Caenorhabditis elegans: one gene and its partners. The protein of the gene in region 2 purifies or fractionates together with the protein of the main gene of each other region. This does not show direct contact. Each region holds a gene or a part of one and is shown on either strand. Other genes may lie near its edges.

Evidence for each region. The genes of interacting proteins can lie anywhere in the genome.
Region 1: the proteins of larp-1 (region 2) and ZC196.2 fractionate together in Caenorhabditis elegans (co-fractionation; one large-scale study listed by BioGRID). This does not show direct contact.
Region 3: the proteins of larp-1 (region 2) and rps-6 fractionate together in Caenorhabditis elegans (co-fractionation; one large-scale study listed by BioGRID). This does not show direct contact.

The regions. Positions count from the first base shown.
Region 1 is NC_003283.11:8,737,619-8,742,811, reverse strand, and holds ZC196.2 (Major sperm protein), read right to left. Parts: upstream 3,377-5,193; 5' UTR 3,376-3,376; coding exon 3,201-3,375; intron 1,780-3,200; coding exon 1,539-1,779; intron 1,472-1,538; coding exon 1,357-1,471; intron 1,314-1,356; coding exon 1,200-1,313; intron 1,144-1,199; coding exon 823-1,143; intron 625-822; coding exon 553-624; 3' UTR 501-552; downstream 1-500. Other genes in the region: ZC196.3 (DUF713 domain-containing protein), read right to left, coding at 4,375-4,668, 4,714-4,893, 4,942-5,130, 5,180-5,193.
Region 2 is NC_003281.10:5,014,643-5,019,420, reverse strand, and holds the start of larp-1 (La-related protein 1), read left to right. Parts: upstream 1-1,770; coding exon 1,771-2,158; intron 2,159-2,262; coding exon 2,263-2,591; intron 2,592-2,845; coding exon 2,846-3,017; intron 3,018-3,069; coding exon 3,070-3,124; intron 3,125-4,401; coding exon 4,402-4,452; intron 4,453-4,778. Other genes in the region: wip-1 (WH2 domain-containing protein), read right to left, coding at 1-37, 132-197, 393-615, 663-773. UniProt on the Caenorhabditis elegans protein: RNA-binding protein that promotes oogenesis by repressing fem-3 expression during germline development. Binds poly-U and poly-G stretches of RNA in vitro. Regulates target RNAs expression either by regulating their stability or translation.
Region 3 is NC_003279.8:13,950,461-13,953,694, forward strand, and holds rps-6 (Small ribosomal subunit protein eS6), read left to right. Parts: upstream 1-1,700; 5' UTR 1,701-1,717; coding exon 1,718-1,855; intron 1,856-2,027; coding exon 2,028-2,388; intron 2,389-2,443; coding exon 2,444-2,685; 3' UTR 2,686-2,734; downstream 2,735-3,234. Other genes in the region: usp-3 (Ubiquitin carboxyl-terminal hydrolase), read right to left, coding at 644-958, 1,038-1,168.

The DNA.
Region 1 (5,193 bases), on a different chromosome or scaffold from region 2:
TGGACCATTTTTCTGGAATACTTTTTGTTTTGCAGTGAAACTAATGAAGTTAGTGACTGAAGAGAGATAGAGAACAGTGAAATGTATTGCTACGTCTAAATTGTGTTTTCGATAAGAGTTTGTGTACATGAAATAGGTATGAGAAAGAATTTATTGAAAATGTGAGAAATACCGAAAGAAAAATCAATCATCTCACACTTTCATTAAATTTGGGAGGGGTTTATGTCTTATGTCTAAACTATGAATAATGAAAGTTTATCTTCTATCTGCAACAAATATTCACTGGAAAACAAACAAAACGGTAGAACTATCATATGTACAATACCAAAAATCAGAATCTACAGTTAAATACAATCAAATTAACAGGTGTGTTCTATTTATAAGTCCTCGTAAAGTCCCGCGAAAATCTTACCACATTGTCCAACATTTATGCGGTTGTCATCTACACCTGATATGAGAAAATGTAAAAGGCAATTGTTTAAATTGTTATAATCTTCCAAAAAGTTCTAAATTTTATTAAAATTTGTAAATAAAAAAAACAGTAATTTCTTATCAATTCGCCCAGAAGATTCTTTCCGTTATGCCAAGTTGTTCCTCCATAGTTCTCAATTCGTCTGATTCTCTCTGTAATAATGCATGTTTTTGGTGGTCTGGCCCTTGAATAATTTTAAAGTTTCTATTCGAATACAAAATTGAAAATTGATTTTTTTTCAATAAAAAACCTTAAAATTTTAAATTCGGTAAAAAAACTTGGGCGTTCAAAGTTAAAAACAAACCACGCAACAACTTTACTTTTCTTTCAAATGAAAATTAAATTCATACTTGAAGCTCCTCTCTTCTTTTCCTCAACTCATTCATTTTCTCTTCTGCTATTTTGTTCTGCCCATCTAGCACTTTTTCGAAATCTTGTCGCATTTGTTCCAATTCCTTTTTTGCGACTATTGAAAAATTATCGTCCAATTCAAAAACGCGTCTAGAGTTCCCAGGACTATTTGACAAACTTATTGTTTCCATAAATTGTGTTAATCTTGATATCCTTTTTTCGAACTTTTCCTCCAGTCTCATTTCCATTTCTTTCAATTTTAATTCAAAACTGTCTTCTAATTGGGACTTGATCTCATGAATTTTATCCACAAATTTTATCTGCAAAAAAAATTATAAAAAGAACTTTTAAAAATAATATATTTTTTAATTTTAACCTCAACTTCCAATTGATTTTTTTTTTGAAACTCGTCTTTTTTATCACAGGTGGTTCCAGTTTGATCAGCTTGTTGATTTTCGCCTAAAGGCACTTCAACCAGTTGTTTAGTATACTAAAACTATGATTGTTATTTTTAGGTAACAAATTAACACAACCTTTAAGCTCTTTGAATTTTCATTATTTTCTTGTAATTGTTTGGCTGTTGAATGATGTGAACTTTTGCCATCATCAGAAACATTTTGAATAGGAGATGATTGTCTCGAAGATTCTCTAAAAAAAATTATTGTTGAAGTAGATCTCTCTTAAGATATTTCAATTAAGAAAAACGAAAACTCACGATGCAATTTGATCATTTCTAAAATCTGGGCTGCTTCCAGTCCCAAGAATAATAGGTGACTTATGGACAAGTATTTTCTCATTAGGGATGCTGCTCCAGAAACTTTTCAAATCATCAATATCTTCAGATTCAAATTCACATGATTCTATTTTGAGCTTGTATGATTTTGCGTTCAGGCTAACTTTGTCGCTCGATCGAAACTTGACAGATAATTGCCTCGCTTCTCCAGGTTTCAGCAAATCTGAAGCAGTAGATTCAAATTGTATTTATTAGGGTGAGCAATAAGTTTTTTCGTATTTTCTCAGTTTTCATCCTTTCTGAAATATTTTGTATGTGGTACATAGTATTCTGTTAGTAGTGCAAAATATATTGAAACCATATATTTCCGCCCACTTCCAAACTGATTCATCCTCAAAACTTCGCTCGAAAAAAATATCCAATTTTTTCGATTTTTTCGGATTCTTTGGGAAATCCAAATTTTACTAAATTTCCTTCGTTCAAAAATATTACAAAAAATACATTTTGATTTTGAGAGGGTATAAAACCGACATCGTAAAAGATATAAATACGGATAAAACGACAATCTTGTTCTTCAGATTAATAGCAACATTTCTGCAGTTGAACACTTTTTGATATCTAAAACCAGTAAAAAGTGACAGGCTATTGAGTCAGAGGCACTCATTTTCGCTGAATCTGCCACATTCTTACATTTGCCTCCGTAGATTTGTTAAATCTTAATTTATCAGAAAGTGTTCAACTGCAATGTTGTTTATTACATATTTGTGCACAACTTTTCAGTTGATCAGTTTTTGATAACAATGTTATCCAGGAAGTTACAAGCGTTGGAACAAAAAACACCAAAGATTGAGAAAATTTCTCTAAATTTGAATCAAAAAAATTCGAGAAAAAAAAATTTTAAGATAACTTTGCGAATTGCACGTATTGCAAAAATCAAGTTAAGACAAAAACAAAAAACACATTATTACATGTTGTGATTTCATATTCAACAAGTTTGGTCGTTTTTGTGAAAAATGTTTTTGATAAATTCAGATTTAACAAAACTACGTAGGCAAACGTAAGAATGTGGCAGATTCAGCGAAAATGAGTGCCTCTGACTAAATAGCCTGTCACTTTTTACTGGTTTTAGATATCAAAAAGTGTTCAACTGCAGAAATGTTGCTATTAATCTGAAGAACAACATTGCAGTTTCATCCGTACTTATATTTTTTTACGATGTCGGTTTTATACCCTCTCAAAATCAAAATGTATTTTTTTTGCTGTAATTTTTTGTAATATTTTTTATATTTTTGAACAAAAAGGGAAAAAGGTATCTAATACTGCTCAGTTCTGAATTTAATTAATATTATGTATACAACTAATGGTCTAATACCTCACGGAGTACTGACATTTGGATTTCCCAAAGAATCCGAAAAAATCGAAAAAATTGGATATTTTTTTCGAGCGAAGTTTTGAGGATGAATCAGTTTGGAAGTGGGCGGAAATATATGGTATCAATATATTTCGCACTACTAACAGAATACTATGTACCACATACAAAATATTTGAGAAAGGATGAAAACTGAGAAAATACGAAAAAACTTATTGCTCACCCTAATACATAAGTAATTTTTTGAGAAAAGTTTTCTAATAAATGTGACTTACCAGGATTTGGTCGACTGACATACATATTTGGTACACTCGTTTTCACTTTGAAACATACTGGTTTCTCAGATATATTTTTCAGAGTAACATAGGCAGTATCAGTCAGATTTGTTGATTTATTGAACACAAAATTGTCGCAGGGAGTCACTTCAAGAAGAATTGTTTTACCACACATTCCTGAACACATTCAAAATTAGCGAAGAAACGTTCAAAGAGCAAAGAAACTTTCAAGAAAATGAGAGAAACGTTTTTCGAAAGAACAAACGCTACGAATTGCTATGACTAAAACGCGAGAGAGATGCTGATAAGATTGTTTACAAATTAATGTTGATCACACAACTAAACAAATCTTTTTTATTTTGAGAACACAATATTTTTGTCTTCAAAACATAAAATCATGCTCACAAGTATAATTATGGAGTCTTCCACTTCTGAGTGTTTTTTTTTCAATAAAAACTCACTCAAAAACTCATAAAGATTATAACATCATTTTCAGCATCTTAAAAACGTTTTTTTTAGTAATTATTATAACCCCAAACATTCATTTACAATTACTTACAATAGCTAAAAGATAGCTAAGATTTGTGTACATATTTCAACATCTTACAAAAATTCATTCCAAATAAATTGCAAAAAAAGTTCCACAGTTAGAAGAAAACAAATCATGATAAAACATATTCGAAACTTGAGAGATTATAAAAACCACGATTTCACTTTTTAAATGTTTTATTCTCTACGACGTCTCAATGTGAGTTCAACTCTGTTTTCTACCTTCTGCAAAACTGATTAGGTTGAACATTAGACTCTTCCCTAATTTTGTCAAAACTAACCAGCGATAGGTTGATAGGATAGATAGGGTTGTTGAAAGAGACGAAGTAGATTTACGAAACACTGTTTTGAACACGGAAAATGAAAGCAGATCTCCGATGTTTGATGAACACAGAGACGGTGTGTAGAAAACTGCCTTGAAAATATCATACTTTTTGGATGTTTTCAATTTTCCTCCAAAGGCAAGAAACTTGTTTAAATTTCTCTAAGTTTCTATAATTTATTTGTGATTCTGAAGGCATCGAAGTATGTCGATTAAAAGAAATCAATTTTTCATTCAGTGAATATAATTTGTAAATACATATGTATGTATGAAGTGAATATAAATATAAATTATCTATATCACTTAACAAATAACACATTTACTTTCAGAAGTACAAACTTCTTCTGCTTGAACATTGTCTTGTTCGTGGATCACGACGTAACTCTTGAGGTGTATCTTCGGGAATTCTAACTGCTCATAGTTGGAAACGACGGCTTTTTTGCAAATTTTTCGTAGTGATGTTGTTGTCGGAATGTCACTGAGCTTTATCATAAAAAACAACTTTTCGAGTTGTTTATACCATTCGTGGGACGGGGCGTTCACATCAAGAATATTCAGAATCGATGATAAAACAAGTGCAAAATCAATTATACTTTTCTGAAAATTGGATTTTCATTGGAAAGATAATACACACGAGAGTACCTGTAGAACTTTGATGAATAATGCATCTGTAGCTATGTCATGTTGTTCACCGAGTTGGATAAACAGAAACTCAAGAGTATCAAATAGGCTTAATACACATTCTGAAAGAATTGATATTTCTTCATATGCATCTTGAAGTGATTCCGACGGTAAGCGTTTAAAATATTTCCATTCACGCGCCTAAATGTTTAAAAAAATTATGTTTAAACACTAGCAAATGCAAATTACCACATTCTGAAAATCTCGAAAATATTCTAGGAATCTCTTGATCGGTTGCTTATAGCAATTTTGAATCCAATCAGCAACTTTTTCTTCCTTTTCCTCAAATCTTTGTTTTAATCTGATACATTCAAATAGTGCAATAAAACGATTTTTCATTTGACTTTGAATTTGTTCTAATTCAGCCTCGAACTCTTTCTATAAAAATACAACATTGCTAGAAATTTTAAATTATTCCAATCATTACTTTTTTCAATTCTC
Region 2 (4,778 bases):
GAAAATGAAGATGATGAGACAATCGATGGCTTTTTTCCTGAAAAAAACATTTGTTTTTTCACTTGGGTTAATTGGAATTAGTGAAAAAACCAAAAATTGGGGGAAAACGACAACAAAAACTGAATGTGTACCTTCAACAGCTGGAACTGGAGCAGGAGGAGGTACTGGTGGAGCTGATGAGGCGGTTGGAGGGGGTCCTGAAAGTGGGATAGAGGGTTATAATGGGTAACGGTTATTTTAAAAAGGGATATCACTGAAAACAATTTTTTTTGCCAGTTTGTTCTCCGTGCGAGAAAAAATACTTTAAAACATTGAAATGTATATTTTCCTAGTACTTTAAATTCTTGTTGTGAATTGCGTTAAATTGCCAAAAAGTTTAAACTTAGATATACCTATACTAGTAGTTGCTCGTCTAATTTTATTCTCGCTTGGTTTCATTGGCATTCCATTCGCAAAAAGACCTCCTAATCCGCCAGACATTTGTGGAGGTTTAGCAGCCGGACCATTTCCGTTTCCAGAATTTCCATTCGATGAAGATCCGCTACTTCCAACGACTTTTCCAACAGATGGCGCTGATCGATCATTCGTGACTGTCTTTTTCAGTTTTAAACCTTTCTGAATATTTAAATTATTTTTACAAATTAAAAAAACTTTAAACTCACATGAATATCGCCAAGAAGAGCATTTCGAGCATTGCTGGATGGTGGCGGAGCCGATGCAGCCGGAGGTGGCGGCGGAGGTGGAGGCGGCGGTGGTGGAGGTGGTGGAGGCATTATCTAAAAGAGTGAAAAGTTAAGGAAGTATGAGCGCTTTTAATAAGACAAACTTTTATGAGTCATCATTGATTTTATCGAAAGATTATTTCAAAACTGAGAAAAGGTTAAACTAGGGAAGAGGAGACATTGAAATTTCTACGAAACGGGGAAAATAGAGTAAAGAAACATTGCTTTCTTTCATGCAGAAAAACAATTGAAAAAAAAATAATCTGTCCCGTCTTGGCCTTCAAAACGTGTGTTTACTCGGCAAAACAACAAAACCAGCGGACACGAGAATCGCGTCAAGGCGACCAAAAAGACGCATGAGGGCTAGTTATTGACGCGTTCTCGGTGCGCGAGCTGCCGGGCATTTCGTGTGTACCCCCAGACTGTGTGTAAACTTCTAGTGCAATGGTAAAGCATAGGGGCGCTACGCAGAAATTGAACTTTTCGCTATTTTATGTCTTTCTTTCTTTCTGTTTTTTTTAATATTTCAGAATAAAATAGTATCGATTTTTTGGACAAATATTTAAATTTAAGCGATTTCTCTTTTACATTTCATTGATTAAGGTTTCTAACAAATAAGTTCAAACACTTTTTTAAAGGTTAAATATCTTCTCTCATTTCTCTGTTCTCTCCATTTGTCGTCAAGGGTACAATCTCAGGCGGATTAAAAACTTTATCGAAAGTATTAACTCTATCCATAGTCTTCTTGTTTTCCAAAACTTCAAACGATTCTGATAAAATTCTTTACCGTCTTATTTTCAGAAAGTTGAAAAAACCGGAACAATCTTTCTGAACAACATTAAAAAATTTAGATGTTCTTCAAAATCGAAAAAGTGGATAGTATGTTCTTCCATGTTTCCATTTTCTAGCTTGTAAATTTATTCAACTTTTTTTGTCGCACTTCGGAATACGTTTTTTAAAAATTTTCCAATGCCAATTCAGTCCAAAATATTTTTTTCCAGGTAAGAAAAACTTGCTAACATCAACAGCAAGTAGAAAAGAAGATCGGATGGCCGAGAAGCAGCCCATGCTCTCATTCGCAAAAGTAGTTTCTGGACAGGCGGAAGACGCTTCGTCTCCATCACAGCAGGTTCAGCACACGCAAGATAGCTCTCATTCTTCTACACAAAACGAAAACAGTCAACCCGAAAAGCAGGCACATCCACCACATAACAGACGTGAAAAGGAAAATGTTGGTGGACGTTCGGAAAGACCACGAGGTGAAGGAAAAGGAAAACGTCGTAATAACAGAAAAGGCGATCGAAAACCGAGAGGAGAGACTAAAACCGAAAAACCAGCTGAAAAGGTAGCAACAGAAGAGGTGAAACCAGTTGAGATTCCTGTTGTGCTGGAACCAGCTCCATTACCGGCTATAAACGCTTGGTTCAAAAACAAAGGTGCGATTTTTTTAAAATTATATATTCATAAACCGAATTGGTTATGCCTTTTTTGAAAGTGTTCTTGGGTTTTCACGTTTTCCAAAAAAAAATCATAGTTTCAGAAGAAGCTGAAGCCGCAGCTGCCGCAGCTCAAAAGGAACAAAAATCCGAAACCGCCGCAGACCAATTTATTATTACTGCAACTCCAGTCGTTCAGAAATCTTCAGCGCCAATTCCAGAAAAGAAACGGGCTGTTGAGCCAACTCCTAAACAAGCAGCGCCAATCAAAGAGAAGTCAAAATCCAGAGAATCAAAGAAAGAGCCATGGAAAACATCCACAGCCCCAGCAGCAACTGCTCCTGTTACTGAAACAGTCACTGTTGCTGCCACTCAGGATTGGCCAACTCTAGCGAAAGCCGAGCTTAACGGACATGTCTCCCCATCAAATTCAGTGAGTTAATTGTTTTTTTTTCAATCTAACACGGATTTTCATAGCCATAGTTGTAAATGAAACACGAAACTTCTTTTTTTTTGAAAATAGCTTTACCTATATAAGCTAGTCACTCTGTGAATGATTAATATACAAACGTGCATAGTTCTAAAGCGGTTTAAATTTAAGATTCAATTTTTGAATATTGAGTGAATTTTTTGCTGAAAAAGCGGTTCCCACTTATTTTGAGTTAATTTTTAAATGTATTATTGCAGGATGATAATAACGAAAGCAGTAGCAATTCGCAACACAAAACTGGTGGAAAGATGACTAAAAATAGTTGGAAGAAGGTTGATATCTCAGTCGACTATGGAAGTAAAGGAAAAGGAGCACCGCGTGGAAATGGCGGCGAAAAAGGAACCAGACGTTCGGCTAATGACGAAGCTGGTATGTTCAAGAACATCATTTTAAAACCGCAATATTGTGAAAATATTTTCAGTTCGGCGACGATCTGGCGAAGAGGATTCAGCAAGCGGAGATGAGCAACAATACTGGTGAGTGTTCAATACAAATTATTAGACGACGTTGCTCGCCATTAGCTCTTATTTTTATTCGGCTCTCTTCATTTATTCGAACGAGCCTCTCAACGCTTTTCACCCACTTTCCGTCGTTAGAGCAGCGATTAAACGTCGTTCTCGTCTATGGCTAGGGGAAATGGAGCGCTCTTCTCTTTTTGGTGTTTTCTCTCCATTTTCATCTATTGGAGCCATCTAACCAGAGTCGACCACTCGTTTGTGCCTACAACCTCTCCTTTATACACTAGCACTACCACCTCAACAACAGATTCACCCGTTTTTATATGCATAAATTTGCGGACACTTCGCATACTTTGACATAGGCAATGTGTGAACAGATTTTCACCTTCTGTCCATAACTTTTGAGAACTTGTTTTATTTTTTCATGTAGTTACGATAACTGATAATTTAGGCACACTTCATTTTAATCACCCTAACAATAAAAAGGCACTTCTGAGTAAAACAAAAACCATCAACGTGGCATGCAATTCAAACAGATTCTGCTTACTCCACTTTCTGCAAACTAGATTCAGAACTGAAACCAGATTTTTCTGCAGTATATTTTTAGTTTTATGCGTTCTTCAGAACCAACTAAGTTTGGAGTCTGCTTTTTGTGTTGAAAAAAAAGAAAACATGTTTGAAATTCGTCATGGCACGTTCGTTTCTATTTTCTAGCTGATGTGGATGCTTCTCTCAGCGTCAAAAGTAGTACTCTTTTTTGGTAGTGGCACCCCTCGCCATAGCTGAGCCTGGCTGCTTTTGGTTCTTTCGCACACACACCACGCAATTATTTTCGGGAGAAAAAGGAGAAAGGAAAAAGAAGAAGGTCCTCTTCTCTTTTTATTTCTTCAATCTCTTCCTCCAATTCGTTGGTCTCCTTGGAAATAGCGACAACAAAAGTCTTGAATTTTCATAACGGTTAGTAGTCCATGTTGTCATTCTCTTACCGGACAATTGACAACGCGAAGACATTATCGTATACGTTTAGAATGATAACACAAAACTCTGGTCGGTGGCTTCAATCATGAGAATGCTCTGTCTAGAACTTGATCATTCTTTTGATAGGGACTTGTAAATTTATGATGGAAAATTGAAATGTTGGTGCACTGAAAAAGCTGTTATCGGAATGTTTTCTTGGGATAGGAAATTTGGAAGATTTGCTGTAATTTTGTCTGCTTAGTTTATAAGAAGACGTTTCATAAATCTTTTCACGCACTACAAGTTCAAATTATCATAATCAATTGTTTGTTTTCCAGGTCTCGAAGCAAAGACAACAAGAGCCCAATCAACGAAATGTCGAGTGATCGGTGAGTATATGTTTCACTTTCTTTTATAAACACCAACCCGTGAAACATCATATAAGGTGTAGTTATCTAGGCAATCCATCAGAAACAACAAATATACGGCATTTTCCTCGTCTCTTCTTTTTTTTCTAACTTTGATATAGAATCGCACTTTTTAATGGCAATTTTCGATCCTCCGCTCCCTATTGCCGTGTCGTCGCCTTTGTCATGATGATCATATTCCCTGCATCTGCATCTATAGCGCGGGCACATTCAGCGATATAATACTAGTTTTATGATACTTTTGACACGATGATTTTGTGCGAACACTCGATGGTTTCGCTCCAAAT
Region 3 (3,234 bases), on a different chromosome or scaffold from region 2:
ATTCGGAATTTTTGGGCTGTTTAGGTGCAAAAACGGATTTTGAAGTTTTTTGTGCTGAAAGATCGGATTTTTTTGGCTTTTTAGGAGGAAAAATGGATTTTTGATGTTTTTTCCCCTGAAAAATCACAATTTAGGGGCTTTTTAGTGGGAAAAATGAATTTTATCGCAGAAATTGATGAGTTTCTGCCGAAAAATCGGAATTTTTCGGATTCTTAGGGCGAAATACGATTTTTTGATGTTTTTTCACCTGAAAATCGGAATTTTAGTGATTCTCGTGAGGAAAATAGGGTTCTGTTCAAGTTTTTGCGGAAAAAATGATTTCCCAATGGAAAATTAAAGTTTCTTCGATGAAAATTAGGATTTTCATTTTTTTTTTTAAGAAAAATAAATTTTTATGAGAAAACGAACGTTTTTGACTGAAAAATCAAAATTTTCAGAAATTCCAGAGAGAAAAATGGAATTTCTGAGGAAAATTGGCGTTTTTTTCACTGAAAATCGCAATTTATCGGACTTTTCATGGGAAATACGATTTTTACGAGAACTGTAACGTTTTTCAGTGGAAAATTCGATTTCTAGCAGGGTTTATCGATAAAATATCGGTTTTTAACCAATTTTTAGTCCATTTTCCTCGAAAAATACGCACTGAAAAGGCTGTGCCGGTATAGTCGGCCCGTCGCCTCCCTCCATAACGTCTTCCCGGTCGAAAAGGAGCTTCAGCGATTTTAGAACTCCATATAAAGATGGCTCAAAGTCCAGTGACACTTCATCATCACAGGAATAGCAGTAAAGCTCGAAAGAAATGCAATCAATGACGACTGGGTGGCTGGTTTCTTCAAAATGATGCAAAGCGTGGCCCGAGTCGTTTCTTCCGCACAGAATTCGTCCGCAAGTGAGGCACATCAGCGATTTATTGCAATTATCGCATTCGTCGCAGAAGGTTTTAATTATTTCCTGGTTTCTGGAAGAAAAACGAGTTTTTAAAGCTATTTTTAGCTTTTTTTAGCCATTTTCTAGCCAAATTTCTCAAAAAAACTCACTTCACCACCTTCCCACGATTCGAATTTCCCTCCAAGAACAAATTATTGTCCTCCATGTCCTGTTTCTTGCGGAACATCCCCTTGGGCACACGCTCCACACAATCTTCCGCCTTTATATGGGTGCAAAGCATCTGAAAAAATTCGAAAATCAGTCAATTTGAGTGTGAGAGCAAAGTTTTGGCACTTAAAACGCGGATAAAAAATCGATAATCAAGAAAAACAGCAAATTTTCGGCGGAAATCGAAGAAAAACCGAAAATCGAGTCGGAAAATCGGAAAAGTTTGGAAAAAAATAAAATCCATCGGACGAGATAGTGTGGGAAAGGTGGGGTGCAGCAGACGACGAGGCGGATGGGGGATGGGTCTCGCCACGAAGGGCGTGCGCCTTTAAACTGGAATTGTCGTTGGCCTAAAAAGTTTTCGCTCCTTTTTTCATTTTTCCCTCGAATTTTTGGGTGAATTTCTCATTTTTAGGCGAACTTTTCGGTTTTTTTTTCGAATTTTCAAAATTTTAAATGTTTTCCTGATAGTTTTCCTCCACATTTCGCAGGATATTTGCTTGGAAAATCAAATTTATTAGTTTTAGGCCCATGTTTTCGTTTTTCGCTTCAGTTTCTCCTTTTCTCACCCCGTTAACTCATTTCCAATGTTTTTCTTCTTGCAGGTAATAATATTTGAGCGATGAGACTTAACTTCGCCTACCCAGCCACCGGGCTCCAAAAGTCGTTCGAGGTCGATGAGGAGAAGAAGCTTCGCCTCTTCTTCGAGAAGCGCATGTCCCAGGAGGTCGCCATCGATGCTCTCGGTGACGAGTGGAAGGTTAGCGAGTCACCCAAAAACACAGAAACGAAGTGATGTTTCTGTGTCAAATCCTCATTGTTTCACGTGCTTTTTCTTCGCTGAAATGGCTGTGACTAGACATACATTGAGAGTCCCAGTTTTTGTTTTTGAACCGATTCTCGGCTCTTTCAAACGAGTTGCTTTTTTCCAGGGATATGTCGTCAGAATCGGAGGAGGAAACGACAAGCAGGGATTCCCAATGAAGCAAGGAATTCTCACCAACGGACGTGTTCGTCTTCTCTTGAAGAAGGGACAATCCTGCTACCGTGAGCGCAAGAACGGAGAGCGCAAGAGAAAGTCCGTCCGTGGATGCATCGTCGACGCCAACATGTCCGCTCTTTCCCTCGTCATCGTGAAGAAGGGAGATGGAGAGATCGAAGGACTCACCGACTCCGTTCTCCCACGCAAGCTCGGACCAAAGAGAGCCTCCAAGATCCGCAAGCTCTTCAACTTGACCAAGCACGACGATGTCACCAAATACGTCATCACCCACGACAAGACCTTCCCAGATGGTGAGTTTCTTCAATATTCTCTTTAAATTTAGTTTTTAACTGTCTAAATTTCCAGGAGTCACCAAGACCATCGCACCAAAGATCCAGCGTCTCATCACCCCAGCTCGTATCGCCAGAAAGAAGTACCTTCTCCGCCAGAAGCGCAACCAGAAGATCAAGATGCGCGATGACGCCGCTGCCTACCACAAGCTCCTCGCCAAGTACTCCAAGGAAGAGCACGACGCCAAGATCGCCCGCAGACGCTCTTCGGCTTCCCATCACTCCGAGTCCGAGGTCAAGAAGACCAGCAAGAAGTAAATACTGCTGCTCGTTATTGTTTCCTAATGAAATTGTTGTTAAACTTAAATCTTTTTTTTTTGTTGTTCACTCCATTCGTCTCACCAATTATATTTGCACCCATTTGTCGTTGTTAATTTTTTTGAATGCTTACTCCGAGTCCTGGCACGCCACTCAGGGTACTTGGTCGATCCGTTCTTCGCCTGCGGGGCGGATAGCAGGCTTCGCAGCTTTCAAAGCTTTTCGGTTCTTTGCTTGGCTGATAGTTGTATGACTCAACCGAAGGCGTCTCTCGTGTGACCTTTTTATAAAGAGTCGTTCCATCTAAACGGGAGTCGTCCATTTTTGTGTTAATTCTGCTAAGATAAAGCGCGCTCCTGAAATTATCTTCCAAAGTGCTGTGATTCTTTTTCAAGGATACGGTAGAAGTCTTGCTATGAGATATCTTCCGCCACAAATATAGGAATTCTCATGTTTTAATTGTTTCCCAGCAAGACATTGGCCAGTTTTCAACTGAAAATTCATTTTTCGATTAATTCCGGGTGTTGAATTCAAAAATCTGATAGAACT